Linked DNA regions of Diceros bicornis minor. The protein of the gene in region 3 binds, or shares a complex with, the protein of the main gene of each other region. Links are inferred from orthologs where the notes say so. Each region holds a gene or a part of one and is shown on either strand. Other genes may lie near its edges.

Evidence for each region.
Region 1: EXOSC2 (region 3) and EXOSC1 share a complex: the UniProt entries of both Homo sapiens proteins name them as parts of the RNA exosome core complex. The link is inferred for Diceros bicornis minor from reciprocal best matches to the Homo sapiens genes EXOSC2 and EXOSC1.
Region 2: EXOSC2 (region 3) and EXOSC4 share a complex: the UniProt entries of both Homo sapiens proteins name them as parts of the RNA exosome core complex. The link is inferred for Diceros bicornis minor from reciprocal best matches to the Homo sapiens genes EXOSC2 and EXOSC4.
Region 4: EXOSC2 (region 3) and EXOSC3 share a complex: the UniProt entries of both Homo sapiens proteins name them as parts of the RNA exosome core complex. The link is inferred for Diceros bicornis minor from reciprocal best matches to the Homo sapiens genes EXOSC2 and EXOSC3.

What each region holds. Positions count from the first base shown.
Region 1 is NC_080745.1:63,229,649-63,237,135, reverse strand, and holds the start of EXOSC1 (exosome complex component CSL4), read left to right. Parts: upstream 1-4,417; 5' UTR 4,418-4,471; coding exon 4,472-4,502; intron 4,503-4,609; coding exon 4,610-4,725; intron 4,726-6,835; coding exon 6,836-6,910; intron 6,911-7,487. Other genes in the region: palmitoyltransferase ZDHHC16, read right to left, coding at 1-159, 340-582. UniProt on the Homo sapiens protein: Non-catalytic component of the RNA exosome complex which has 3'->5' exoribonuclease activity and participates in a multitude of cellular RNA processing and degradation events.
Region 2 is NC_080760.1:56,710,810-56,718,137, forward strand, and holds EXOSC4 (exosome complex component RRP41), read left to right. Parts: upstream 1-4,684; 5' UTR 4,685-4,783; coding exon 4,784-4,954; intron 4,955-6,097; coding exon 6,098-6,304; intron 6,305-6,408; coding exon 6,409-6,768; 3' UTR 6,769-6,815; downstream 6,816-7,328. UniProt on the Homo sapiens protein: Non-catalytic component of the RNA exosome complex which has 3'->5' exoribonuclease activity and participates in a multitude of cellular RNA processing and degradation events.
Region 3 is NC_080767.1:38,100,821-38,108,932, forward strand, and holds the start of EXOSC2 (exosome complex component RRP4), read left to right. Parts: upstream 1-4,966; 5' UTR 4,967-4,985; coding exon 4,986-5,107; intron 5,108-6,700; coding exon 6,701-6,802; intron 6,803-8,112. UniProt on the Homo sapiens protein: Non-catalytic component of the RNA exosome complex which has 3'->5' exoribonuclease activity and participates in a multitude of cellular RNA processing and degradation events.
Region 4 is NC_080767.1:6,212,237-6,219,441, forward strand, and holds the start of EXOSC3 (exosome complex component RRP40), read left to right. Parts: upstream 1-4,134; 5' UTR 4,135-4,149; coding exon 4,150-4,482; intron 4,483-5,245; coding exon 5,246-5,395; intron 5,396-7,205. UniProt on the Homo sapiens protein: Non-catalytic component of the RNA exosome complex which has 3'->5' exoribonuclease activity and participates in a multitude of cellular RNA processing and degradation events.

The DNA.
Region 1 (7,487 bases), on a different chromosome or scaffold from region 3:
GTAGTAATGGAAGACGATGAGGATCAGATTCCAGTGACTATAGAAGAAATGCCAGCAGAGTCGGGGCACTGAGTAGGTTCGGAGGATGAGGGGCAAGACACATAGGTAGGCAATGGCCACGATGGAGCTGGTCAGCACGATCACCAGCACCACGAACACCTGCCAACACCAGTGAGGTCAGGCAGATGCAGAGAGAGAGCTTGCCAACACCCAGAGTAGACTTAGGAATTTCCCGGGGTGGGGGGAGGCTGGCCTCCAAAGCCCAGTGTGGGTCCATCACACACATGTTCCTCTGCTACCCCAAAATATCCCTTTTCCTATTCCTTGGGCATCACTCACCACCCCACACCAGCGGATCACGTTGTCCACCAGCCAGTAGATGGGCTCAAAGGCAGCATCGACAGCAGTGTCAGTGCCCCCAAAGGAGTTGTAGAGCAGGGAGCGCAGGCAGACCTTGCCATAGCGCCAGCGCTGTACCAGGCCCCGGAGCAGAGGTGGGCAGCGGCGCCTGTAGCCCAGGAGCAGAAGCAGGCGCAGGCAGAGGCGGGCAGGGCCCAGCAGCAGGCTCCGCTGGCCCCGCATGGCTCCTAGGAGAGCATATTGTTGTGAGGGGCCAGCCTGGGTCCTGTCCCTCCCTACCCCACCAGTGGGGAGGCCCAGAACACCAGCTTAGAGGCAAAGACCTAAGGCTGAGGCCTAGCTGGGCCAGTCACCAGCTGTGGGAAGTAGGAAAGTCACTTCTCTACAGAATGTGTGATGCCAGTGTCCCAATCACGTTACAGGGAGTAGGGTCTGGAGGTTCTGAGCCTGCAGAAATCCTACTTACATTCCACCACGTGGTTGCACAGGAAATCCAAGATGATGCACACCTAGAGTAAAGGGCCACAGTAAAGGGGTGAGGGAGGCAGGCGGCTCCAAGCCAAAGCACAAAGCAGGGTCAGACCACCGGGTGGAGCACAGGCAATGTGCACAAAGCTGCCCACTGCGTCTCTATGGGCATGGCCACTGCAGCAGAAGTTTCCCAGGGTCTCTTGTCCGCCCTGCCCCATCAACCTACCTCCTAACAATTGCTCTTCAACATGGAACAGCCAGTAGGGGAGTGAGGGCACAGCATGTGGACTCTGCACCTAGATCTTCCTGGTGCTTTCTGACTCTTGGCAAAAGACACTCAGCCTTCCTACTCCCTCTGAGCTGACGTTACAGGCCACCAGACCCAACCTGGTAGCAGGTAGAGTCCCTAAATCCTGTCAGGACAGCTCAGCTACCCCTTGCATGATATAAGATGCTTTGCTTCCAATTCCAGGCCCAGCCCCAGCCCAAGGACACAGAAGCCAAGACAACTTCAGGTATTCAGAGCAGAAAAACACCACAGGCAGGCAACCACTGGCAGTGGGAGGGGCATCCATGCTGGTGGCTCCTAAGACCACAGGGCCTGTCCTCTCTGTGATGAGTCTCCCCTGCCTTGTTCTAGTTGGACACTCAAGAGCCTTCTCTGCGGCTGCTGCCCTTGGCCCCAAGCTTCCCAACCAGTCTTCTCGGCTCTTTAGCCCTCTGCACAGCTCCTCTGCAAGCACCTTCATCTCCTCTATGTGGTCTCTATCTCATCCAACAGCCGTGCAAGGTCACCTGCCCACAAGACACAGATTCCTTCGATGATAGTCTCATCAATTCCGCAGATTACAGTCCTTACAAGGAAAGAAATTAACCAGTTTTCCCCTAGGGCTACTTTGTCCTCAGCAACTCCCCTGACTTATTTAACAGGCAGCTTGAAACCCAGCAGAAACTGGAGGAGGCTGCTCCACTGTAGGGACAGTTTCAATTCAGTCACTGGAGCAAAGTATTCTCCTTGCACCTGGCTCATCCCCACAAGAGGCCTTTCAAAGAAAACATTTAATCACCTCCTTCCACAAGGTCTGTAACGACTTAACGCAAAATGAAATTTGGCAGACAAGGCCAGCACAGAAACAGAAGAAAGACAATTTAGTAGGGATCTACTCTCTGCACAAGGATAAAGAAACTGGCCATTCCCATCACCTCCTAAGAGCTAAGAGAATTAAGGGGCAGCGTAGAAAAGAGAAAAAGGAAAAGCTCAAACTTCCTACTTCCTTTGAGTTGGACTCCTATTCTTTGGAACCATGGTTTGGCTGGAACCTTGAATTTTCAAAATAGTATACAGCCACAATCAAATATAAGAGTGGGACAAAACATTTTACCCCACAACCATTCCAAGTGACCTGGATTGCCCACACCACTGTTCATTCCCTTACTATGGCTAATGGAGAGTTTCCTATTTGCAATAGCTTGCAAATAAGATGCATTCCTCATCTGTAATAAACATGAATTAAATACCATCTCTCCTTTCTACCAAAAAAATCTTCCTTCTCAGACTCTCCACTTTTCGGAATGTTCTCAACCACCTCCAGAATTCCTAAGCTCTACAGGAAATGCCTGCCTCAAGGACTTGACTTACTAACTCTCATCTGCCCCGTAACTTGACTGCTTAGGGTTCAGTTCTGCCTTTAAGTAGTTCTGTGACCTTGGGCAAATCTCCGAACTCTACTGAGACTCAATTTCTTTGTGTTCCCATTCAATGAAGGGGTAGGATTAAATGCTAAGGTCCCTTCCAGCTCCACCCCTTTACGATTCTAGACACACACTTGGTAAGGTATAAATGAAATGTTTATAAAGTGCTTAGCACAATACCTGGACCATGGAAGTACTCAATAAAGACTTGCTGAAGGAATGACCTGGAGGGATGCTGAAGTGGAAAAGAAAGGCTGGCCAGATGTCTATCTGTCCTACAAATAACAAGGGCATGCCTGCCAATGTGATTACAGTAAACAAGTGTCTGTTGCTATCATGTTTCATGATCAACAGAGAGACAGAGAAACCATTGCTAGAATCATATAGACTTAAGGTTAGATAGCATTTCAGAAACAAGTCCAACCAGAAATCAACCCAAATATGTAAACAGAAAGCTTGTAGATGCAGAGCTACATATCAGATTTGAAGGAACAAAGTCTGAAGCCAAGCTCCCCATCATTTTAGCTAGTGGGATTTGGGGGGTATGGGATGCCAGGGAAGAGATATGTAGTCCATGGGGCCACAACCGAACGTAGGGAGTTTTCATCTCAGGAAACTGAGGTAAAGGAGAACTCAAAAAAATTATGTGTGGGAAGCGGTCTTGTCCCATCCGTCTCCCGTCTCCCCATCTCCTTCCCCCCCCCCCCCCCCCCCCCCCCGCTGATCTCAGGGGGAAGGGAGGAAACAAAGCAAAGCACATCTTTACCCCAAGCACAAGTCTTGAGCACTACTGATCACAGGCCATAGTAACATCCCCACCAGATTAGAGGGGACTGCAGGCCACAGCACTCCCCTCTTCCCAAGGCTCTAAGTCACCAACTGTTTCCCAAGGGGAATCTGGATGAGGGGGAGCGGGTGTTGCACAGGGAGGGACAGATTCCAAAGCCACTAAAAGACAGAGAAAACTAAGATGAAAGTCGTGGCCAATCTCATCCGGACAAAGATGCTGCTCTCAGGATGTTCGCAGTCTTAAGCAGCAGAGGTCAATCATCAACAAGAGTAGCAATTTTATTCATGTGCAGACTTCCCTTCTGGACTAATGCTAGGAAGAGAAAAAGTTAAGGATGGGCCCACACTAGACCTCCGCTTGAGAGGATCCGACTGCAAGATCGGCAGCTGCAATTACAAAAACCGGGAAAAGGTTTTCTCAATGAGGGTGGCGTGGTCAAAGTGCGATGGATTGGACGTTAAAAAACTCGGATTCCAGCTGGGGCTCTACTTTGAACTATCTTCGAGACAGTGGACAAGTCAAATCCTAGCCCTGGATCTGAGTTTCCTAATCTGTGAAATGGGCGAGTTAGGTTGCTGACCTCCTCCCAGCTCCGCGCGTTACGGGTGCCCGGAGGGTACGCTCCACCCAGCTGAAACAGGGCACGGCCGTGCAGGGCGGGGCGAGGAGAGAGCAGGAACCCGGGCTCACGAGACGGCCCCGGAACAGGGCCCGACCCTAGAAAAAGGGACAGGACTGGGGAGCAAAAGCCGCGGCTTGGCTCTTACCTGCCGACTCCCCAGTCAGCCAAATCGAACCCCGCAGCCTCCGCCGCCGCTCACGGCCACCCCCTCCAGCTCTGCGCCCTGGCCCGGCTCGGCTCAAAGAGTCCAAGCATGGCCTGCCACCCACAGCGCCGGTCCGCAGACCCGGACCCGCCGCCAGCCCATTCTCGACAACAGGCGCAAGCGCAAGCGCAGGCGCTCCGGAGCTCCGCCCCCGGGCTCGTCCCTGGCCACGTGGGAAATGGAGTCTACCCCCTGAGGGGGGAGGGCCCCCCGTCGGAGAGCACGTGATGAATCGCACCAATTGGCACGCTTCTTACTGCGGAACTGCAACTGGATTTTGGCCAATGAGAAGCCGCCTTGGTTTGCCTCCGGTTTCGGGGTAGTGGCAATCATGGCGCCACCCGTGAGGTACTGCATCCCCGGTAAGTGAGCGGTGCCCACAGCGAATCCTGGACAGGCACAGAGGTGGGAAGGCTGGACGGCCAGCACCTCCTGGGGCCCCGTGGCTGATGCAGCGCTTTTTCTTCAGGCGAACGTCTGTGTAACTTGGAGGAGGGCAGTCCGGGCAGCGGCACTTACACCCGGCACGGCTACATCTTTTCGTCGCTTGCTGGCTGCCTGACGAAGAGCAGCGAGAACGGCGCGGTAAAGGGGGCGGCATCCCATCTCCGTCCCTGCCTTTCTTTTAGGCCGCCTTGGATTTCGCGGCCCTAGCCAGGGGCGCCGCGGGCGCGTCTTTAGTGCTCAGCGGCAGAACGAGCTGGTTTCTGAGTGTCTTCCGCTGTGGTCCCCGCTGCCGGGCGCCTAGCCACCTGACAGTTGTGTTAGTCTCACTTGGTTGTGTCGCTGACACTCAGGGAAGGAAGTAGGGGAAGAGCAGAGGCGAGCTCAGCCCTGCAGTGAGCTGAATTCTGTCCGAATGTCGCCTACTCTCCGGCCTCATCTCGCTTCACTGTCCCCGCCTCGCTCTCTGCGATCTAGTCATACGGGCTTCTGTCAGTGTCGCTAATGCGCCAGGCTTTCTCCTGCCACAGAGCCTCTGTACACACACCGTCTGTCTGAAACGTGCTCCTTTCCTCCTTAGCCTATTTAAGTCCTACCTATTCTTCACGTAGCCCCTCTGGTATCACTTTCTTAGAGAAGCCTCCTAGACCCGCTAGTTGAGGAGAGGAGTTTTGTTTTTTGTTTGTTGCTTGTTTTGTTAAACACTCACGAAGAATTGTATTTCTTTCCTTTCAAGCATTTATAGTTAAACACTCAGTTAAATGTTGTCCGCTAGACTCTTTCCCTACTATAAGTTCTATGAAAACAGGCCTCACCACCAAACCTTCAGGGCCTAGCACAAAATAAATGCTCAATAAATGTTTGTTGAATGCATGAGCAATACTATCTTCCCTAGTTCCAGAGACTGATCCAGGATTAACTCATGATCAGATAAGGAGTCTTCGAAGTGACAGGTAGCATAGTAGAAAGAGGAGTCAGAATTAGAAGCTTAGCCACTGGCTAACTAGACCTCGATTCTGCTTTAGGTAAGAAACTTAAACTCTTTGGCTTTAGATTCTTCCTCATCTGTAAAACGAGAGGCTTTTTATTCAATCAATTTTGGGAATGTCCTTAACAATCGTGAGTTTATTTCACAGATATAGATATCGGTTGATGTGCCAGGCACAGTGCTGACCTCTAGGGATATGGTAATGAGCCAAATACACATGATCTCTGCTGTGAAGGCTCACAAACACAAATGTTAACAAATAAATGCTCAAATGAATGTATGGTTACAAATGTGATGACTGCTTTGAAAGAATATTATAGGGTACCATGTTCTCATATAATAGGCACACTTACCTAGTCATCGAAAGTGACATTTAACCTGAATCTAAAAGGTAAATAAGAGTTGGGTGGGTGGGGAGAGCTCAGTCCTGGCAGAAATAACAGGTTGAACAGAGATCCTGAGATGGGAAGAAATTTAGTGAGTTGGTGAAACTGAAAGAAGGCGGGGAGGGCTGAAGCATAGTGAACAAGGGAAAGATTAATAAAAGAGGAGATTCCAAATATCTTGTCTTACACCAGCACACAATACCACGCTCAAAGAGAAAACTCCACAAGTATTCCTTTAAAATAGAAGTAAACAGGGCCTCCCCTGTGGCTTAGCGGTTAAGTGCGGGCGCTCCACTACTGGCGGCCCGGGTTCGCATCCTGGGCGCGCACCGACGCACTGCTTCTCCAGCCATGCTGAGGCCGCGTCCCACATACAGCAACTAGAAGGATGTGCAGCTATGACCTACAACTATCTACTGGGGCTTTGGGGGAAAAATAAATAAACAAATAAAAAAATTTTAAATAGAAATAAACAAGTATGGCCACTATTATATAACATTTATTTGGAAATTCTAGCCTGTACAATAAAATGCGAGGCAGAAAGAAGTATAACTTTGGAGGAAAGAGTCAAATTATCCATGATTACAGACCCTATGGTTGTATACCAAGAAATTCTAAGAAAATCACCAAGATACGTATTAGAACTAATTGGAAATGGTTAGATTATGTCTTCTAGCAGCATTCTTCCTGTGGCTCCTTGGCCCTCCTATTTCCTAAATTTCTAAGGCTTTCTGTTCTGGGCTACAAATGCATCTGTAGTCCCCCTGCCCTTGTGACCTCAACTGTGAACCAAGGCATTCCTGTGTTACTCTCAAACCACAGATAGCTTTACCCAAGGCTTAGCCAGGATACTCATGTTTTATTGTTCTCTCTGTAGCTTCCTGTCGTGTCTGTGATGAGAGAAACAGAGTCCCAGTTACTGCCCGATGTGGGGGCTATTGTAACCTGTAAGGTAAGTTGGTCCTAACCTCCCTGCTTAGGACACCCGTCCAATGCTGAAATCAAGATCATTATAGAACTGCACTGTCCAATATGGTAGCCACTAGCCACATATGGCCATTTGAATTTAAATAAATTAAAATTAAGAATTTATTTCCTCAGTTCCACTAGCCACATTTCAAATGCTCAATAGCCACAGGTGATTAGAGGCTGCCATATTGGTCAGCACAGAACATTTCTGTCGTCACAGAAAGTTTTACTGGGCTGTGGTGGTCTAGAGATTTCTAGATAATGATTAATCCAGGCAAGTTCCGGCATGCATAGTTCTTTCACAGAGCTGGTTCTCTGAGTATATAGTTTTACCTGTGTCTGGGGAACAGGGGCACCAACGAGTGATAAGGAGGCCTATTTTTAAACACCTAAAGTGAGACCTTTTTCTGCAGAGAAGCAAAAGACTTTAAACTCTAGCATTCTTGTTTAAAGTCTTTTAGGGAGGGTATTTCAGGGGAAGTACAAATTAATCAGTACTGTAATACATCAGTACTCCCTGCCCATCCCTACCCTCTGCCTGGTTAAATTAACGTGTAGCT
Region 2 (7,328 bases), on a different chromosome or scaffold from region 3:
TCTTAAGAGGCCATCAGAGTATGCATCCAAAAAGCCTAAGGGAAGCAAGTTAGAGAAACACGTCAGAAGTTAATTCACGACATTATGTTGGTTTTCTGGGGGCCGGCCCCGTGGCTTGGCAGGCAAGTGCCCGTGTTCCACTACTGGCGGCCCGGGTTCGGATCCCGGGCACGCACGGACGCACCGCTTGTCCAGCCATGCTGAGGCGGCGTCCCACATACAGCAACTAACAGGATGTACAACTACAACATACAACTATCTATTGGGCCTTTGGGGAGAAAAGGGGGAAAAAAAAGGAGGAGGATTGGCAATAGACGTTAGCTCAGGGCCGGTCTTCCCCAGCAAAAAGAGGAGGATTGGCATGGATGTTAGCTCAGGCCTGATCTTCCTTACTAAATAAACAAACAAACAAACAAATAAATAAATAAATAAAAGTTGGTTTTCTGTTTGTGATATTGGTTAATTTAAAAAATTTGTGTTACCTGTTGTGATTTCTTTTCTTCCTCTATTCAATTTTGGATATAGGATTTTATCTTCTATTTCTTAAAGAGGGCCCTGTGTGAAAAGAGTTAACACAGCGGGCCTGAGACTGCTCTCCTTCAGGAGGTGTGCTTGCAAAGTTGGCTGGTGTCTGGGAACGTAGATTTTGGGAGGGTTCCCACCATTCCCTGTAAGAGTGGCTCACTGAGCCTAAAATGTTCGTACAAAGACATATGGTTCATGCTGAACTCCTGCTTTCCTTCTGGGAGTCTGGAATTTGGGTATGTGCCAGGCAGAGGGTGCCTATGTGACCAGTCCCCCCCGAAAGCCCTGGACACTGGGTCTCCAGGGAGCCTCCCCGGTGGACAACATTTCACATAGGCTTTTGCTCCTTGTTTCTGGGGAAATGGAGTGTGTCCTGTTCCATTTCTCCAACAGAGGACTCGGGAAGCTTGCGCTTGATTTCCTCTGACTTTGCCCCAGGTGCATTTTCCTTAGCTGATTTTGATTAATATCTTTTCTCTGTAATAAATCTTAGCCATGAGTATGACTATATGTGCTGAATTTTATGAGTCCTCCTAGAAAATCACTGAACCCAGGGGTGGTCTTGGGGATCCCCAACACAGCTCCAAAATTTGTATAAGCTTTAGACCCCCAAGACCTGGATCCCGCCATGTGGGTGACCTATGGCTAGAATACAAGGGTCAGAGAACCAAGGGGGGCAGGAATGATCCGTAGCGTAAACTGGAGATGCTGCCAGCTTGGAGGTCCTAGTTCCCAGGGGTGGGGAACACTTCCACCAGGGGACACAGTAAGGGTTCCACTGATCTGGAACAGTCACCACCCAGCCACTTTGGGCTCCTTAGGCCCATGACAAACATTATCCTGATTATCCTGTGATTCTAGGGCCAATACTGCACAACGGGGGCCAAGCACCCGTGGGGCTTCCACCTGCATCAATGGACAACTACAGCAATCTCTATCTACTATGAGCTCACATCGCTGAGGGAGGAAGGCTCGGGTCACTCTACGAGTAACCAGCTGGGTCCAGCTGAAGAGCCAAGGGTGGGGGAATCAAGGGTGGCTAGTGGCAGAGGATGATGGCCATCATGGCCTCAGACCAGGTGCAGTGGCAGGACTGTGGCTGGCTCACTAGCCCTCGTGCTGCAGTCTTCTAGGAGCCCACCACCTTGGAAGGGATGCTGTGCCTGCAGGACTGTGGTCCTAGCCTGCCACAGTACATCCATCCCACCAGCTCTTCTAACAGCCTGACATTAACCCTGCTCCTACTGAGGGGTGGGGTCCATGTCCCCTCCCCTTGAGCCTGGGCAGACCTTCGTGATCACCTTGACCCATAGAGTCTGGCGGCAGTGACACCACGTGATTCCTGAGACTAGGTCTTAAAACACCATGCATGCCCACCTTGTTGTCTTGGGAAGTCACCTTGGAACCCAGGCGCCATGCTTTGAGGAACCCATGCTGCCTGGAGAGGCCATGTGTGGGTGTGCTGTCTCAACAGCCAGCATCAACCACAAAAGATGTGAGGGAGGAAGTCTTTGAGACAATGCCAGCCCCAGCCACCATCCACAGTGACCACAGGGAGGAAAGATTCTAAGTGCAAACTGCCTAGCTGAGCCCAGGCAACCACCAGAACTGCAAGAAATAATATAATTATTTTTTGTTATTTGAAGTCACTAAGGTTATGCAAGAGGTAAACAGACATACAACCCCTACACAATGCCTTTTTGGAAAGGGTGAGGGTATCTTCATTCTTAAAGGGAAAAAGGAGGCCGTTTTACTTCATTGGATATAATGGGAGGGCATGAGAAGACCTGAAAGAGGCCACATGTGGGCCATATGGGGACACTGGCCTGTGCACCTTAGGCCTCCGTGTATGTTGCCTCCTCTTGGCGAGCGTAGCAACCACGTCGGTTCATCCTTCCACTTTCAAACTTGAAGCATGGGATCTGGCTTCCTAAGCGCTGCAGAGGGGCTGAATAATGCAACTGGTAGAGGGGGAAATGAGCTCCCTGCTGGTGACTTTGACCACTGGGAAAGAGAGGTACTTGGAGACAGGAGGTACCTGGGATGGGAAGCCCCTCATTTCTCCCTCCTGTAGACCCATCAGCAGTCCCATTGGACTGGACTGACATGAGAGGCTGGAATATACCAGGCCAGGAAATGCAAGAGAGTAACAACACCATGTCAGTAACACTCCACAGACTGGCAAGGATTATGTAAAAAACTGTAACACTTATTCCTGGTGGGAAAGGAGGGGAAAAGGAATTCACACTTCCAGCCTTCACCCAGAAAGTCCCTATCTTGGAGTTTCATCCCCCAAGTATAAGCCCCTGAACACACAGCCACTGTCCATAACGGGGCAGTGGCCAGGATATGTCCTGCTATGTACATCCATGGGTATCAAGCAGCCAACAAAAAATCAATGATAGTTCCACAGGACTATATGGATGAATTTCATAAGGTTTTTTTTTTTTTTTTGAGGAAGATCGGCCCTGAGCTAACATCTGCCAACCCTCCTCTTTTTGCTGAGGAAGACTGGCCCTGGGCTAACATCCATGCCCATCTTCCTCCACTTTATATGGGACACCACCACAGCATGGCTTGACAAGCAGTGCCTTGGTGTGTGCCCAGGGTTCCCAACTGGCAAGCCCCCCGTCGCCACATTGCAGCGCACACACTTAACTGCTTGCGCCACCAGGCCGGCCCCCATAAGGTATTTTTTAAGTGAAAAACAGAAAAGTGTGTATGAAATGTCTACTTAAAAAGCAAATTTACCTGTTATTTTATCCTTAAAACCAGTTTATTCCAGAATAGCCAAAAGAGTTCCAATTCCAGAAGTGCATGCTATGGAGAAGGATAAAATCCAGTCAACTAAGGAGGAGAGCTGTCTTTATAGAGAAAAGGGGGAGCAGGGAGGGGCTGTTCTAAAGGAAAGTCCAGGGGCCGGCCCGTGGCTTAGCAGTTAAGTGCGCGCGCTCTGCTACTAGCGGCCGAGTTCGGATCCCGGGTGCGCACCGACGCACCGCTCCTCCAGCCATGCTGACACTGAGTCCCACATACAACAACTAGAAGGATGTGCAACTATGACACACAACTATCTACTAGGGCTTGAGGGGGGGGATTAAAAAAAAAAAAGGAAAGTCCATTAGGGGAAAGTAATAGTTCGGGGCAGCAACAGCTTCTCATTGGCTGAGCTGTGGTGTTTCTCATTGGCTGAGCTGTGGTGTTTCTCATTGACTGAGCTGTGGTGTTTCGCATTGGCTGGGCTGTTGCCAGGTGGGGAGAGAAATCTTCCTTCCTAGTAAAGTAGTTGTACTTCCCGTCAGAGACACAAGCTCTTCTCTTCCTGGTTGGTGTGATTGAGACGTGTGATGGTGGTGAGAGCTCCCCCTGCAGGTCTCCCCAGTCCAGTTTAGTTAAGGTTTCTTTTATTAATTTCCACAGAAGTGATCCCATTTAAAAAAGTAACCAGAGTTCCAAGAGGCACTGTACGGCTGTACATGTACAACTGCATGTATCTGTGTATGACTTGATGTAATTATGAGGACAACATGGAAGGAACCATTTATGAGGTTAAGATAGATGGGGGGTTGCGGACAGAAGAACCATGCCAACAAGGAAAACAAAATTAAAACTGCTATAAAAAGAACATGACCACGTGTAAGTATAATATAAGTTATGCATGTTTTTTAAAAGAACGAATGTAAACATTAAAGGGTAAGAAAAGGAGAAGAGGAAGTGCGTCTGGGCCTGGATGAACCAGTGCGACCAAGAACTAGAAGCCATCAGAGACGAGACGGTTCTCCCTTCCTGCGTCGCTGCTCTCGCCCAGCGAACCGCGAAGGACACTCCAGGCGTCCAGGGATAGCACAGGGAAGCCAGCCGCCCGGGGCTGGGCGCAGAGAGGAGGCGCGGCCGGAGCCCTCGGGCCCTTGGACGGGTCTCAGGCGCGCGCCGGCAGCGGCCAGCGCGTCAGCACACTACCCAATGGGGCGCAACCGGGGGACTCTGCCCTCAGCGGGTCTCTACCCGCGGCAGCCTCAGGACAGCTCCCCCAAACGGCCGCCGGTACGGTCTTCTCTCCCGGGGTCAGCACCGCCCAACTTCCCCGGGACCGGAAATGAGGAAAGTGGCGCAGCCGGGAACCTTAGTTTTCTGAGACCGGAAGTGGGGAGTCGGACCGCCGGAAACCATATGCCCCCGGGAGGTCAGAAGTGCGTAGTCAGGGCCGCCGGGAACTGTAGTTCTCTGTGAGGCGGAAGTGGGGCAGGCGGTCGGCGGCATGGCGGGGCTGGAGCTCCTGTCGGACCAAGGCTACCGGGTGGATGGGCGGCGCGCCGGGGAGCTGCGCAAGATCCAGGCGCGGATGGGCGTGTTCGCGCAGGCCGATGGCTCGGCCTACATCGAGCAGGGCAACACCAAAGCGCTAGCCGTGGTCTACGGGCCCCACGAGGCGAGTGGGCTTGCGTGCGCGAGCCGGGCAGCCCCGGGGTCGGGTGGAGGAACAGGGCGGCGGCCGCTCTGCGGGGTGCGCGTGGCCGCCAGGCTGACCAAGGCTCCGGAGGCGACGGCCGGCGTGCGCCTGCGTCTCCGCAGCACAGTTTCACGGCCGCGGCTCACTCGGAGTAAAAGCCAAAGTCCTTACTGTGATGCACGGTGGTCCTTGCCTTTCTCATCAGCCACTCTCCCTTGCGCTCTCCACTCTTTGCTGTTTCTCAGAGCGCCAAGCGCGCTCCCACTCGCTCCCTACCTCTCACCTCTCTACTCCAACGTCACCGTCGGGATGACGCCTCCCCAGACCACCTTATCCACTTGGCAAGTCCCCTTCCCTACGATCACACACCTCCCTGCCTTTCTGCACCTGTAACCTCAGACATTAACCTATCTTTCTCATCGTTTGTCTCCCCGCTAAAACATAAACTCCATGAGGACAGGGATTTAAAAGCGCCCGGTTTTATTGCCATGTCTCCAGCTCTGAAACAGTGTCTGCCACCGCAGGCATGAAAAAATGTTTGCTTAGCACATGAGTCTAGGAGCCCAGCCTTCCAGCGGGGGGGAACCAGGAGGGGAAAGGCCAGAGGGTGGAAACAAGCATAGCACGTTTTCAGAGCAGAAAGGCTGCTGGTGGGGGAGATAGGGAATAATTCCAAATGAGATTGATGGGTTTCTAGGGAGGGGAGAACTCATGGCTTTGTGGACGAGGGAAAAGATTTAGGATTTTATCTCACACGTGATGGAAAGCCTTTGGAAGGTAAGTAGGATATATGAGTGTGTAAAGGAGATAGAATCAGATTTGATGTTTGTAAACATACTCTGGCTTTGGCTACAAATGGAAAATGGGTTGGGAGGGGATGAGGCAAGGATGGACACAGGAAGGCCTATTAAGAGAGATGAGATCCAGAGGTGATGGTGGCTTAGAGACTGGCCAGTGGCCCTCCCTCAGGCTGTATTTCGGAGTTCAAGTAGTTGTGTTTGTTGAGATGTTGGAGATAGAAGGAGAGGAAGGAGGGAGGCTGAGGTTCCAGTCCTGAGCCAGAGGAAGGGGTAGTGTGAGCTGGGAGGAGTGGGCCTGGCTCATGTGTCCTTCCTTCCCCAGATCCGGGGCTCCCGGGCACGAGCCCTGCCAGACAGGGCCCTGGTGAACTGTCAGTACAGTTCCGCAACCTTCAGCACAGGTGAGCGCAAGCGGCGGCCACACGGGGACCGGAAGTCCTTCGAGATGGGCCTGCAGCTGCGTCAGACCTTTGAGGCGGCCATCCTTACACAGCTGCACCCACGCTCCCAGATTGATATCTATGTGCAGGTGAGCAGGCAGCAGCCCTCAACCCGGGGAGGGGATGGAGGCTGTGAGAGGGGATGGAGGTCCGCAGCCTAATGGACTGATGCCGCTGTGGGGGGTCCCTACAGGTGCTGCAGGCAGATGGTGGGACCTATGCGGCTTGTGTGAATGCAGCCATGCTGGCAGTGCTGGACGCTGGGATACCCATGCAGGACTTTGTGTGTGCCTGCTCAGCTGGCTTTGTGGACGGCACAGCCCTGGCAGACCTCAGCCACGTGGAGGAAGCAGCTGGTGGCCCCCAGCTGGCCCTGGCCCTGCTGCCGGCCTCAGGCCAGATTGCACTGCTTGAGATGGACGCCAGGCTGCATGAAGACCACCTGGAGCAGGTGTTAGAGGCCGCTGCCCGGGCCGCCCGCGATGTGCACACCCTGTTGGACCGTGTGGTCCGGCAGCATGTGCGCGAGGCCTCTATCTTGCTGGAGGACTGAGCATCCAGCCACCTATGCCCAGAATAAAATCCACACAGTCCACTGTACTCGGATCTCCTCACAGCACTTCCATGCCCTCAGAGCCTGGCCTGGTGCTGGCTCCTGGGGGTGACTAGAAACCCTCCCCCACACATGAACTACATATCTCTTGCAGCCTCAGGATTCAAACCCTGAAGAAGGTGGGGGAGTGTGTCCCTGGGTGGAGAGAGCAGCTTGTGCCAGGAAGGGTTCAAGGCAGCTGAGCAGGGAGGTGTGGCCTGGCAGAATGAACCAGGCCATTAGACTGTGGAGTCTTGCATCCTCCTCTTAGCACATCCAGGACCCTGACCACAAGGGCTGAGGGAGAACTCGGCTGGCTGTGGACATGTAGGGGGCCATGTCCCATATCCCCTAGATTGTGGCTTGGATGTAATGGCCCCTTTCCCCACTAGGAGCCGCTTGGGCCTGTCCTGCTACTTACCTTGGTCTCCAAAAGTACAACAGACATGTGTTCTCACCTGGAGTCTTTCCCCCTCAGCTCTGACCCTTCCTCAGTGGATACAGACACTACCCCTGCCCCA
Region 3 (8,112 bases):
TGGTTATATGGAAATTAAGAAAAGAAACCTTGGGGCCAGCCTCGTGGCTTAGCAGTTAAGTGTGTGCACTCCGCTACTGGCAGTCCGGGTTTGGATCCCGGGTGCGCACCGACGCACTGCTTGCCCGGCCATGCTGAGGCAGCGTCCCACATACAGCAACTAGAAGGATGTGCAACTATGACGTACAACTATCTACTGGGGCTTTGGGGAGAAAAAGGGAAATAAAAGGAGGAGGATTGGCAATAGATGTTAGCTCAGGGCCGTTCTTCCTCAGCAAAAAAAGAGGAGGATTTGTATGGATGTTAGCTCAGGGCTGATCTTCCTCACAAAAAAGAAAAGAAAAGAAACCTTAACTAAATTGGAGTTGGGAAGGCCTGTAGGAGGCACTCTCATGCCCTATCATACATGTCAATTACACCCCAACAGGAAGAGATGGAGGCTCTCATCTCCTACAGGAAGTACAACTACTTTACTACTGAAGGAAGATTTCTCTCCCCACCTGGCAACAGCCCAGCCAATGAGAAGCCGTTGCTGCCTAGAACTGTTACTTTCCCCCAATAGACTTTCCTTTAGAACAGTCCCTCCTGACTCCCCCTATTTCTCTATAAAAGCAGCTCCCCTCCTTTGTTCTCTGGATTTGCCCGTGGTTCCCTGTAGCATGCACATCCCGAATTGCAGTTCTTTTGGCTATTCCCGAATAAACTTGTTTTGAGAATAAAATAACAGGCGAATTGGCTTTTTAAATTGATACTTTGGGCCGGCCCCATGGCTTAGCGGTTAAGTGCGCGCGCTCCACTACTGGCGGCCCCGGTTTGGATCCCAGGCGCGCACCGACGCACTGCTTCTCCGGCCATGCTGAGGCCGCGTCCCACATACAGCAACTGGAAAGATGTGCAACTATGACATACAACTATCTACTGGGGCTTTGGGGGAAAAAAAGGAGGAGGATTGGCAATAGATGTTAGCTCAGAGCCAGTCTTCCTCAGCAAAAAGAGGAGGATTAGCACGGATGTTAGCTCAGGGCTGATCGTCCTCTCAAAAAAAAAAAAAAAGATGTAGCATAAGTTGACAGTCACCTTGACTTGGAGTTCCTCTGTCTCCCTCCATCCAACTGCCCAGTGTGGACACTTCCTTCACCTCAAGGCTCACTCAAATACCACTTCTGTCCGGGGGGCTTTTCTTTCCTCCCCCACGCCCCATCCCTGAACTCCTGACTGAGCCCCTTGATGGCTGGGCAGCCAGTGATGCAGCTCTGTGGCCCCCACAGCACACAGTGGTGCTGTTGTTCAACTGCAGACGCTTATTGAATAAGTTCATTCATTCATTCAACAAATATTTATTGGGTGCTGTTCCAAGGGTACCTGGGATTTGTTTTCATCAGGGATGGTAAGACATGCAAACATGGAAATGACTGCTACAAAAGGAGAAGTTTGTTATGTTCACGATTCGCTAGAAACAGGACGCACAGCACACCCTGCAGGGACACATGGGGAAGCACTGGGCTTGATCAGGAGGCAGAGGGAGCAAGGACAGAATGTGGGAAGAAGCCTTTATTGTGGTTTCCACAGGAAGGAATGGGTGAGGCAGGGTGAGCAGGCTTAGGATTGGCTAGTTTGAATAATTTCAATGAGCTCTGAGGCATAGGGGCTGTCCCTAGTTGTCTGGTACCTGGCCCTGGGGTGATGAGGGCAGGTGGATAGTGGCCCGGGGTGTGAGAGCCCCATAAAGGAGGTGGTTGGGGGTGTGTGCTCTGGGCTGGGTAGTTTGCACATGAAAAGCACACTCCTGGGCCAGTTGTTAACTATCTAGGAACTAGCTAACCCTGGGAGAAGCAGTCCTTTCAGGATCAGCAAAGTCTAAGATATCCAAGCATCAGATCACAGAAAATAGAGGACGTGGTTAAGACAAGGGCCTGCTATGTATCCAGACAGTCCTAGGACTGGGCTGTGAACAAAACAGACAAGGTCTGGGCATTTGCGGGGTTCATATCCCTCGGGGGAGACAGATGGAGCAAACAAACAAGCAAATACATATTTTGTAAATCTATCTTATCTTTTCAACAAATACTGTATGGCTGCCCTCTATATGCCAGACTCAGTTCTCAGCACTGATGCACACTGAACAAAACAGATAAAGTCCCTGTTCTGAGAGCACTCACGTTCTCGTGGAGAAAGACTGCGAAAAACGAGCAAACAAGAAAATTCAGTGACAAGAAGTAAAACAGGATCAAGTGATAAAAAAGGGACTGAGAGTTATTCCAGATCAGGTGGTCAGGGAAGGCTTCTCTGAGGAGGTGATATTTGAGCTGAGATCTGAGTGAGGAGAAGCAGCCAGCCACACAAAGACCTGGGGGAAGAGAATTCCATGCAGAGCTCGCCAAAAGCGCAGTGATCCTGGGGGTGGTGACAAGCTTTGCATGCGGAACTCAGAAGAGACCAGCGCATCTGGCTGCAGCATAGTGAGTAAGGGAGTGGTTAGGAGGCAAGTGAGGTCAGAGATGGACAGGGCCACAATGATGAGTTTGGATTTTATTCTTAGTGTAAAGGGAAGCTGCCAGAATGTTCTAAGCAAGGAAATGGTTTAATCTGATCTGTTTTTTAAAGCTCCCTCTGGCTGCTATATGGAGATTGGATGGTAGGAGGCAAATGTAGAATTAGGGAGACGAGCTACTAGGTGATACCCAGGTAAGGGATGACGTTGATCGGCTTGGAGTGTGGCCCTGGAGATGCACCGATGGGGAGGTAGATGGATGTGGGGGAATCCATGAATGTGAGACCCGACTGGCCATTAAAATCACTCACGGAGTTAAAACACACACTCAGAGACTTCTGGGACCCCACCTTTGTAGAACCTCAACGGCTAAGTCTGGGCTCAGGAATCTGTTTCTAACAAGCCCCTCTGGGATGTGCACTCTGTTTCCGGGTGGCTGCTTGTCTCCGGGGTGTGAAGAGGCAAGTGCGATGCAGAGACAGGAGCACCAGAGGGGGCTCTGCAGTCTTGGGTTCTAGTCCCAGCTGCAGGTCTGTTGTTGGGACTCGGTGGCCCCAAATGATTGTCAGGAATACCAATGCCTACCTCCAAGATGGGCCGAGTGTGAGGGATAACTACAACAATGTTTGTAAAGCACTCAGCAAAGTACCAGGCCCCCCGGAAGTGTGTAGGCAAGGGTGCAGGGTCTGGGGTACAGCAGGTGCAGTCGGAAGGAACACTGGCCCTGCCACCAAGTGCTGTGTGAATTCCAGTCCTTGAGGGCCTCGATTTCCTCCTCTATAAAAAGATATCTGCAATGGACTGAATGTTTATGTCCCCCCAAATTCATATGTTGAAATCCTAACCCCTAAGGTGATGGTATTAGGAGGTGGGGGCTTTGGGAGGTGATTAGGTCATGAAAGGGAGCCTTCATGAATGGGATTAGTGCCCTTATAAAAGAGACCCCAGAGAGCTCCCTCACTCCTCCCACCATGTGAGGACCCAGTGAGAAGACAGTGGTCTGTGAACCAGGGAATGAGCTCTGGCCAGACACTGAATCTGCTACCACACTAAGAGAGCATCCATAATCTCAACGTTGTGACAGGCTTGTAAACGTGAGTGCTGTGAGAATGGGAGAGGCTAAGGTTACGTCCATCCCTCTTGGGATGAGACTGGATGATGTCAAGACTACACCCCACTCGGTCTAGGAGCACTCCTAGGCCCAGCTCCCTAGCTGACTGGGCTATGCTGGCTCAAAGGACACCACTGCCCTCTTATGGCCGAGGCTGGACTCAACAGATGGACCCTTCTCACACTTTCTTGGCTCTAGGATCTTGCTGCAGGCAGGGAAGAGGGCAAGTGTTTGGTCTGCCCACTGACGGGATGACCTATGGAGCTCTAGAATTTATATCATCGACTGCCGCACGGGTTGGATTTCTTGACAAGTGTAGTAGTAAGCCTTGCTTAGGTGAAAGAAATTCACTCAATTTGGAGATTTATCAAACAATTGGTCTGATGGAGGCAGCAGGCCTGATTTACTGAACACAGCATGTGGGGCTGATGCATCTTATTTCATTTAATCCTCTTTAGGGTCCTCGTGCATAAAGAATTATCATTTCCAATTTCCTGAGGTTGAAACTCAGTTTGTTGTGAATACTACAAACCATGCAGGACAAGGGTGAGGGAGAGGCTAGTGGGAGGCGGGGAGATGAGACGACAGAAATGCTCCTATGTTAAACAGGACACCGAGAAAAAAAACCACATATACATCTCTCTGTCCACGCTGTATCCTCAAAACTGAGCCTGGCACACAGCAAGCGCTGAATTCCCAGTATGTAAGTAATATATAAGTGAAGGAAATATAAGCCAGGATCTTTGTACTATCTGTGCACTTGTCTTCCCTACCAAATATACCTGCCTTGTAACGTTTAAAGGTTTCTTGTTTTTTCAAAAGAAATGTTAGGGTAAATCACCTCACTCCAAAGAAGTCATTATGAAAGAAGGAACCAGCACCCACGGGGCGGCTGTTACGTAGTATACTGGGGCTACTAGGAACAGTAAGAAAAAGGCCTCTTCTTTCTGTCCAAATAGCGTTTTCTGTAGATCCCACCTCCTGATCGTTCTGAGCTCTCTCATACAAAAACATCAGATTTTAGCAGCTTAGAGTTGGAAGGAAACTCAGAGGTCCATTTCTCAATTATCTCTAACCCTGGTAAGCAATAAATGGAATGATGAGTACCAGAGAGTTTTGGTAAAAAGTCAAACGGTATACAACCCGAGATTTTATTCCACACGTGCAGCCTTGCCAATAGTAAAAATGGCAACTCGGCTCCCTTCTTCCCTTCATGTTAACCTAATGGTTGACAATAGTCAGCATGGCCGCCAGACCGTGAGTTCCCATTGGCGGCTGCTCTGAGGCCCCGCCCCGCGCGCCCCTCCCTGAGACGGCCGGGAATTGCAGGGCCGGATCTCGCGGCTGCGGCCTGGCTGCGCCTGCGCGAGTCTTTGGCGCCAAGATGGCGATGGAGATGAGGCTGCCTGTGGCTCGGAAGCCTCTTAGCGAGAGCCTGGGCCGCGAGAGTAAGAAACACCTGGTGGTGCCGGGGGACACGATCACCACGGACACGGGCTTCATGCGGTACGTGGGAACTTGGGGACGCGGGGCCACAAGGGGCGGCTGCAGGACTCTCTGCACGTGGCCTGCTGGCCGAAACCCGGGCCGCTGTCCCCTTGCGTCTAAGGCCCTGCGGGACCCAGGGCACATCTGAGCATCCCAGTTGCCTCGTTTCCGGGTCTCGGGCTTCTAGTCCCTGCATCTTGTGTATCCCCATCGGCCTCCTGAAACCGTCCTCTCCTGATCTCTGGTGGCCGTGACTCCTGGGTCCTCTGCCTGAGGTCCATTTCTCTGAGCCTTCCTCGTTGGAGACCTGGAAACCGGGGAGGGTTAGGGGCAGGGCCTCTTAATAGTTTTCAGCTATCTGAGGGGACGGTGGGCTTTCCTGACTCGACCTCCTGTCCTCTCGGCGTCATCTCCTAGCCGGGTGCTCGGTTTTGGAATCAGTAATGTTTGGGTTTAGGGCAAAAATATATTGTGCTCCATGCACCCAAACAGACAACTTTAAATCTGAAAGCAGTACAATATGTTGTAGTTAAGAGGGCAGCTCTGCGTCGGACAGTTGGGGTTCCAGACCTGCTGTCACCTGTTATTAGCTGTATTACCTCTCCCAGGTCAGTTTCCTTGTCTGGAAGAAAATGATAAGAACAGTAACTATTTGATAGGGTCATGAGGATTAAATGAGGTAATAATTAAGAAAAGAAGCAAAACTCACCATCATATCACCATCGTAGATAAACACAAGTGTTATTTCAGCCTTTTTTGTGGGGGGTACACATGTACATGTAGGAGGGCTACTGCATTTACAGCATTGCCCTTTAACCTTTTGGTTTGAGGTTACTAGATCCTAGGAAATCTTTTTTTTTTTTTGAGGAAGATCAGCCCTGAGCTAACATCTGCCAATCCTCCTCTTTTTGCTGAGGAAGACTGGCCGTGGGCTAACATCCATGTCCATCTTCCTCCACTTTATATGGGACGCCGCCACAGCATGGCTTGCCAAGCGGTGCGTTGGTGCGCGCCTGGGATCCGAACCTGCAAACCCTGGGCCGCCACAGCGGAGTGCACGCACTGAACCGCTTGCGCCACCGGGCTGGCCCTTGGATCCTAGGAAATCCTAAGATTCAGTTCTTCATTCATGCATTCAACATATATTTATGTTGTGTGTGGTTAGGGTGCAACAGTGAACAAAGTGGGAGTCTCTGTCCTGGTGGAGTTTAACAGGGAGAGACAGATGATAAACAATAAGCACAAACAAATGAATTATTCAGAATGTTTGGTGCTAAATGCAGTGCAAAAAATTAAAAGTCGAGCAGGGTAAGTGGAATGTGGTTGGGAATGTGATGGGGGTGGTAGCAGCAGGGTGGGTGACTATTTTAAATGGGGTAGTCGAGGAAGGCCTAATGGCGAAAGTGACATGTGAGTAGACTTGAGTAAGATGAGGGAGATGTCCCTGTAGCTCTCTAGAGAAGGAGTGTTGTAGGCAGAGGGAGCAACCAGCACAAAAGTTAGGCTTTAAGGCAGGAGGAGCCTGTTAGGTTTGAGGAATACATTGTTCTTGACGGGAGAAGTCATCTCAAGTGTTACCCTGATATCCTTTGTATCTTCCTCTTGCAACAGCGGCCATGGGACTTACATGGGGGAAGAGAAGCTCATTGCGTCTGTGGCTGGATCTGTGGAGAGAGTGAACAAGTTGATCTGTGTGAAAGCTTTGAAAACCAGGTGAGAACAAAAGGTGTGTATTCTCTGTCTTGTGGCATCCATATCGCACAACCAGGTTTTTTCTGCCACACCACACCTCCCACCCCCACCCCCGTCTGCCTTCTCATTCTGTAGGTCTGCGATTTGGAACATGTATAGGTGACTGTAGAAAGTGCAGGCTTCAAAGGTTTCCCCACATTATGTGACCTCTCCAAACCTTTGTTCCCTCCTCTGCAAAATGAGGATAATATCATGACCTACCTTATAGGATTTTCATTAGAATTCATTGGAAAGGTGCATGTAAAGTACTTAGCACTGGGCCTCCTACCTAAAAGGACTCAATAAAGGTTAGCCCGAGAAAGGAAGCCAGTGGGGTCAGAACAGAGTGAGTGAGGGGGAGAGTAGGAGCAGATGCAGGCAGAGAGCTGAGGTGGGCAGTCGGCCTGCCTTGGAGCCATGATAAGCATTTTGACATCCACTTTGTATAATCTGGGAAGCCACCGGAGGGGCTGGAGCAGAAGAGGGGCATGATCTGACTTCTGTTTTAAGAAAATCACTCTGGCTGCTGTGGGGGGATTGAAGAGGGACAGGCGCAGGCTCAGGGAGACAGATTAGGGGACTGTTTTCATCATCTGAAGTGATGGTGGCTTGGACTAAGGTGGTAGCAGTAGAAGTGGGGAATAGCGATTAATTCTGCATATCTTTTGTGTTCTGAGTTTTTATTATAAAAGGGTGTTTGATTTTGTATTCTTTGGGATTTTCTATATATAGGACCATGTTTATGAGTAGAAAGAGTTGTACTTCTTCCTTTCCGATTTGGATGCCTTTTATTTTCTGGTGAAAGTAGAGCCACTAGGATCTGCTGCTGGACTTGTCCTGGAGCATGAGAGAGAGAGAGAAATCAAGGGTTCCTCCAAGAACTCCAAGGTTTTTGGCTTGAGCAGCTGGAGGGATGGAGTTGCCGTTCACTGAGATGGTGATGACTGGGAGAGGATCAGTTTGCAGTGGAGGAGGGCGGGGAGCTGCTGGAAAGCTTTGTTTTAGGTTTATTTCATTTGAAAATGTGTCTTAGTCACATAAATGGAGATGTTGGGTAGCCAGTGGTTCACTGCCGTCTGGAATTCAGGGGAACTGTACAGTCATGAGTGGTATTTAAAGCCATTAGGTTGGATGAGCTCACCAAGAGGTGAGTGTGGGACAAAAAGAGAAGAGTGCCAAGGACTGAGCCTTCACTGTGGACCACTTCATCATTAGCCCTGGAGTGAGGAACTAGCAGAGGGGCCTGAGACAGCAACCAGTGTGTTGGGGACAGTGAGTAGCCTGGTTTGGGT
Region 4 (7,205 bases), about 32 Mb from region 3:
CATGAATATGAGGTACCTTTTCCATTATTTAGATCTTCAATTTCTTTCAATGTTTTGTAGTTTCCAGAGTTTAAGTTTGGCATCTCTTTTGTTAAATTTATTTCCAAAAGTTTTACTCTCTTTGATGCTATTGTAAATGGAACTGTTGTCTTAATTTCATTTTTTGGTTGTTCATTTCAAGTGTATAGAAATGCAATTGATTTCTGTATATTGTTCTTGAATCTGGCATCCTTGCTGAACTTGTTTGTTAGTTCTAAACTAAAGTTTTTTTTTTTTTTATGGATTCTTTAGGATTTTCTATATACCAGACCATTTCACCTGCAACTAGAGATAGTTTTACTTTTTCCTTTCCAATCTGGATACCTTTCATTTCTTTTTCATTTCTATCCCAACTGCCTGTGATAGACCCTCCAGTACAATGTTGAATAAAGTGGAGAGGGCAGACTTCCTTGTCTTGTTCCTCATCTTAGGGAAAAAGCTTTCAGTCTTTCACCATTAAGTATGATGTTAGCTGTGGGTTTTTCATAGATGCCCTTTATTAGGTTAAGGAGGTTCCTTTCTAATGCTAGTTTATTGAGTGTTTTTATCATGACACAGTGTTGGACGTTTTCAAATGCTTTTTCTGCATCTATTGAGATAATAATGTGGTTTTTGTCCTTTATTCTATTGATATGGTGTATTATATTAATTGATTTCAGATGCATTAAAATCCCATTTGGTCATACTGTATAATCCTTTTTATATGTTGCGATTTAGCTTGCTAGTATTTTGTTGCGGATTTTTGTGTCTTATATGCATGAGAGATATTGATCTGTAGTTTCCTTTTCCTGTGATATCTTTGGTTTTGATATCAGGGCAATAATGACCTCATAGAATGAGTTGGGATGTGTACCCTCCTCTTCTGTTTTTTTGGAAGAGTTTGTGAAGAATGGGTATTAATTCTTTAAATGTTTGGTAGAATTCATCAGTGAAGCCATCTGGGCCTGAGTAGACTCCACTTTACTGCTGTTACTGATGAGTTTGTTGACTTTACAACCTCATGAGACCTTGGACCAGTTATCAATGTATTGCTGCTCAGCTCTAAACTCACCCTTTACTGCCTGCTCTGAGAAAATGGATCTGGTCCTTTAAGATATCTTTCCTTTGCTGTCTCTCATGAAGACAATCTTTGTAGGTAGAAGGCCCTGCAGAGGCATTGCAGGAGGAATGGGTTTTGCTTCCTGGCTCCATTGTGCTCTCTGGTATGCGCCTGCAGCATGGCAGCTTCTCAGGCTTTGCTTGGTGCCCAGAAACACCCAGCAGCCAGCAGTTTTCCCCAGCACCCTATCAGGCAGTTTTGTAATAGAGCCTTCCAGGAGACACCTCCCCAGGAATAGCTTTCCCCAGCGCCCTAGAAGTGCCAGCAAGTTCCACTGGCACAGATTCCCAGTGACTCCCACCCTTTAACAAGCCGTGGCCCTGTCCTCTCCAACAAGGTCTCAATCGGTCCTGGCCAGCAGGGTGCTCTTCCTCGGGTGCGAGCTCTAATTCTTATTAGCCATGATTACTTGTGACTAAAAATATCTGTAGCAAGTAGACTCTCACTTGTGCAGTGGTAACTGTGAGCATTTGCGTTTAAATTCTTTACTTGAATAAAGATATTAACACTTCTATGGACTCTTTTACTATTAATTTCTGTATACAAATCAGCATGTAGTTCATTTGTAACTGTTAGAAACCAGTGAACTAAAAAATTTTAAAGGTTCACTCAAATATTACCTCCTTTGGGACACCTATCTTGACTCCAACCTTCCTCCCACATACAGTGAACCATTTCATCCTCTGTAGTCGGGGCTGACACCCTCATCAGATTGGTGCACCCACCGTAACACTTGGTATCTTCATGCGGAGACAGTAGGGCAGGGACCATGATTCAACTGATTGCCCAGCTCAATTCCTGGCTCGGAGCAAATGCTCAACTAGTGTCGTCGATTGAAAGGAAACAAACCCGTCCAACTTCATTACTCAATAAAGAAAAGCAACCGTGAGATGCCACTTTTCCACCTTCTCAAGTAGCAAAGGTTTCTAAAGAGGAAGTTTGGGGAGAGAGTCCGAAGGCCGGGGTCCGGTCCAACCTTTCCGAAGGGAAAGCTGGTCCTTCCCCCGAGGGAAATACTGAGAAACGGGAGGTGTGCGCCAGAGGCGGTCGAGGGCAGCGCCGCGCCTCCTGCGCGGGCTCCCACCCGGCAAGCCCCCAGACTGTCTTACGCTAGGGTAGAGTCGGCCCGGATCAGGAGTGGGCCTCAGCCCCCGGCCGCCCCGCCGGGAGCCCCCGCGCGGCCGCGAGGAAGGCGCGCCGCCGAACCCCGGCACGGCCGCCTCCGCGCGCCCATCTCCACCGGCCCTTTCACACCCGCGGCGCTCCAGCCCGTCCGCGTTCGGACGCGAACTTCGTAACCGCGCCCCAACCGGACCCTAAGGCCGGCCGCGGCTCGGAGCCGGGCTTCCCCCGGCCGGCACGCGGGGGGCCCTCCGCGTCTCCCGGCCCGCCCGCCGGCCTCAGCCGGGCCGCGCGCTCCCGCTCACCAGCGGCCGCGGGGCGCCGGGGCGGCGACGCACCCACGCGAAGGCACGCGGCGCGGAGGCCCGACCGCCTCTCCAGGCGTGTCGGGGACGGCGACCCCGCGCGGGGCTGACGACCCGCCCCTCCCGCCGAGCTTCCGGTCTCCAGCGACTGCCCTACTCTCGGCTTCTAGTTCCTTCTGTTGACTTGGGAATGAGGCGCACGATGCCCACGTGCCGCCCCCACCGGGAGGTGGACTTGATAGGCCTCCTCAGCCAGATTTGGACCGAAAGTCTCTTTTTCCAGACTCCTCTGCCGACGTGGGGTGCGTGAGGGACAACCCAGGGATCATTTCTCGACCTCCCTCTCTGCCTGGTCACACTCCAGGTCACTGAGCGCCCTGGGCATGGCCTTGGGCCAGCCGCGATCACCCGATACCTACTGGTTCCAGGCCTTCTACAGCTGGGTTGGAGTGGGGAGGAGAGACAAAGAATGTACACAGTTCCGCCTGCCAGGATAACCGACAAAGAGCAGTTCCTACAACCATCTGACTGCAAAACAAAAGCTACATTTCAGTTGGCCTCTTAATATTCTCTCATTCAGTTGGCTCGCCAGCATCTTTCCAAATTTGGACGGTATGTTAGAGATGGTCTGTCTTAAACATCCTAAAAATCTAAAAATTCACGTTGGGAGCAGATGCCTCAAAGAGATGGGCAGAGCCAGGCCCTCCAGTCCCCAGGAGCTCTCACCCCTCTGGGGGATCTGACCAAACGCCAGTTGGAGGTGCCAGTTGACAGAGGAAACTGATTTCAAGTAAGAGCCCTGAAAGTCAAGGATTGGCTGTGTGCTGGGGACCTGGAATTCGGCAGCTTCTCACCCGGGCAACTAAAGTGTGCTCCAGGGCAGGCAGCAGCAAGGACTGAACTGCACTCAGTTTTCCCGGGCCATGTAGGGTAGCTCAGTTATGCGGAAATGCGCATGTGATGTGTGTGTTTGCAGGGAAAAAAAAGTCTAGGGAGAAATGCATACCAAAATGTTAACATCCACTCATCCTTCAGGAATTACCTGTTTGGTGCCAGACCCTGGGCTACATAGAATAACTCGCTGACAGCCTAGCAAGGGAGACAAACGGGAGAAGACTAATGCGTTTTATTTTCTTTTATTATTCTGTTTTCCACAATGTGAATAGATATCTTCTCTAGCAACAACCAAAAAGGTTTTATTTTGAAGAAGAGAAATACGTTTCCTTGAGGGCGGAGTCGGAAGGAAGGGCCCCCTCCGCTCAGTTCCCAAGGTTCCCACGGACCCACAGGTGAGAGCGTCTGGTATCCCACTGTGCGACCGAGCACGGCAAGTGCAGGCTCTGCGATCGACTCCAGCTGCGTGTTTCTCGGAGCGACCCGCGGACAGACTGCAGGACAGGCGGCCGGCTGAGACACAATCATGGCCTCCTCGGCGGGCCCACCGGCCCGCCGCGGCCAGGCTTCTTAGACGTAGTTGGTTCAAGTCCAACAGACCGCAACTGCCGGAAACGGAAGGGCTGGGGCGGGCTGGCGATTGGACGCGGAGCGGAAGCGGAAGCCGGAAAGTGTGTGGTGGCGTCCGGTATGGCGGAGGCGGCGGCCGTGGCGGCCGAGTGCCCTGCGGGTGGCCGGGCGCGGGCGGCGCGCGCCGTGCTGGATCAGGTGGTGCTCCCGGGTGAGGAGCTGCTGCTGCCGGAGCAGGAGGACGCGGACGGCCCGGGAAGCGCCGGGGAGCGGCCGCTGCGCCTGAATGCCGGGGCGCGCGCCCGGGTGCGCGTCGTGTGCGGCCCGGGCTTGCGGCGCTGTGGCGACCGCCTGCTGGTCACCAAGTGCGGCCGCCTCCGTCACAAGGAGCCCGGTGGCGGCGGCGGCGGCGGCGGCAGCGGCGTGTACTGGGTGGACTCGCAGCAGAAACGGGTGAGTTGGGGCTCCGGAGGGGTGGTACGGCCGTGCGGGTGGTCTCCCCGCTCTGGGAAGACTTCTCGGAAGAGACAGCGAGGCGGCCCTGGAGCCCACCTCTGTTAAGGCTGGCCTAGAGCCCCGTCGTCTTGTGCCCACCTCTGCATCTCCTGTGGAGGGACCGTGAACAGCGGGAACGTGGCCCGAGAAGGGCAACCCGGAGAGAGAGGAGTTTGGGAATCTTGGCGTATAACGGGATAAGGACTGTGAGACATGGTCATTGTCTGCAAAATCCCACAGGTCGGGGCACCTGGCTTATCTTTTGGGGTCTCGGAGGGCAGAACCAGTCTCACTGAGTGGATGTCACAGGGAGTTAAATTTCTCTTAAAATAAGTGAGAACTTTCATATAGGAAAAATTGTGTAACAATGAAGTGGCCTTCCTTGGTTGTGAGGACGCCTTGTGTCACTGGACTTAATGTGCAAGTGGCGGCTGGGCCCTTCCTGATAAGGTTACTGAAGAGGTATGGGATACGGACCGTTTGAAGCTGTAAAGCTGAGCGCTTATGACGTGATTGTTTTTCTTTTGTTGAAAATGGCGTATGATCAAGTTTGTTGTAAGATTTGTATTAATTTATGAACTTGGATTTCAAAATATTTTTGGAATATCTCTAATGACAAACATAATAAAATAATCACTAAGGACTTGCTGAAGACATCTTCCAAGATCTCTTGGAAATGATTGTCATTATGGTTGTTCTCTTGTTCTGTTTTCTTTTGTAGTATGTCCCAGTGAAAGGAGACCATGTGATTGGCATAGTGACAGCTAAATCTGGAGATACATTCAAAGTTGATGTTGGAGGGAGTGAGCCTGCTTCTTTGTCTTACTTGGCATTTGAAGGTGCAACTAAAAGAAACAGACCAAATGTGCAGGTAATGATGGGAGCATTTGGTTTTAAAAGAAAAGCATCCAAATATTCAGAAACACTCAGATATTCAGGAGGCTACCTGAATTGTTTCCTAAGCTTGACCTCTTTTCCCAGTCTTGTCGTATGATCTCTCAGTGTCTGTGTAATCACTCCAGGCTCCAGGAGTTCCTTCCGAGGCTCCAGCTCTGGGACCAGAGCCACATACTTATTTTACATTTGCTTATTTAAATTGGGGGATGTTTCATCTCTACGGAGTTGAAAGGTTATATCTGTTCTTTCCGTCGTTATCTGTTATGTCTGTATCCACGGGACAAAGAAGTAAGCCGTAGGCTTAGGGAGGAAGGAGGAATAAGTGGTGAGAATTGCCATATCAGCCCACCATCCATCCTGATTGTAGGTCCTGGGTCTGGCACCTCACAACGTCAGTCACATCACTGTTTCCCAGCAATCCCTTCTTGGAGCTGACAGAGGAGCAGTCTTGTTACCTCAAGTTTTCAACTGGGGCTTTTCGTGGAGCATAGCCACACTCTTCCTATCCACCCAAGCCAGAAACTTGGTGGTTTCTTTGCCCCGTCTCACTCACCTCTCATGTGTCTTTAGTTGCGTAATCTTACTGATCTTTTTTGTTTCTGTTTCTGATTTTCTGCATATCCACCCCTGTATCTCCATTTCACAAGTTCTGGCCTTAGCTACCTCTTGACTGGACTCGGTCAGTGACCTCCTCGTTAACATCCCTGCCTGTACACATTTGCCCCTCCAACCAGGCTTTTGAGAGCTGACAGCCTCACACACTCCCCTTCCTCCAAAAAAAACAAAAAGGGTTTCTTCAAAGCCTACATATTTCTTTGGCATTATACTCCAGAAGTCTTCCCTCATCCATAATTTTTTCCTCTATGCAGCCATGCCTGAACCACACCAAACTATTTACCAGCATTACTGAACTCATAACTTCCTGTCCTTGTGCCTTTGCTCATGGTGTTCCCTCTATCTGGACTACTCTGTCCCCTCTCAGCCTGTGGAACACATGCTCATCTTTTGAGACCCAGGCTAAACACCACCACCTCTGTAAAACCATCCCGAATCCTCAATCACTTTTCTGATAACTTTGCTCCAGCACTTCCTGGATTCAGCCTTGAATGAAGTTTGTTGTTTATATGTACATCCCCACTGCGCTCTGAGACCAAATGCTTCTGAAAGGCAGAGAATGTTTTGTTCCTCTCCAGTTCCTTTAGTCACCAACAAATGGTACATACTTAACAGAACAAGTTCACTCTCCATTTCCTTAGTTTCATCATTTTGAAGTTCAACTCTGAGGTTTTTAAGTAAATCTTGCATGGAGAACTGTCAGTGAATTACCATTGTTCCATTTTTTTTTTTTTTTTGTGAGGAAGATCAGCCCTGAACTAACATCTGATGCCAATCCTCCTCTTTTTGCTGAGGAAGACTGGCCCTGAGCTAACATCTATGTGCGTCTTCCTCCACTTTATGTGGGACGCCGCCACAGCATGGCCTAACAAGCAGTGCATCAGTGCGTGCTGGGGATCTGAACCGGGGAACCCCGGGCCGCCAGCAGCGGAGCGTGCGCACTTAACCGCTTGCGCCACTGGGTGGGCCCCCACCAGTTCCATTTTGCTTCGAATAATTTGCATGTCAGGGGCTTCTTTTATCCATCAATCTTCTGTAATTCCTAGAGCAGTGCTGTCTGAGAGAGGTTTCTGTGATGACGCTAATGTTTTACATCTGCACTGACTAGTATGGTAGCCACTAGCCACACATGGCTGTTGAGCGCTTGAAATGTGGCTAATGCAACTGAG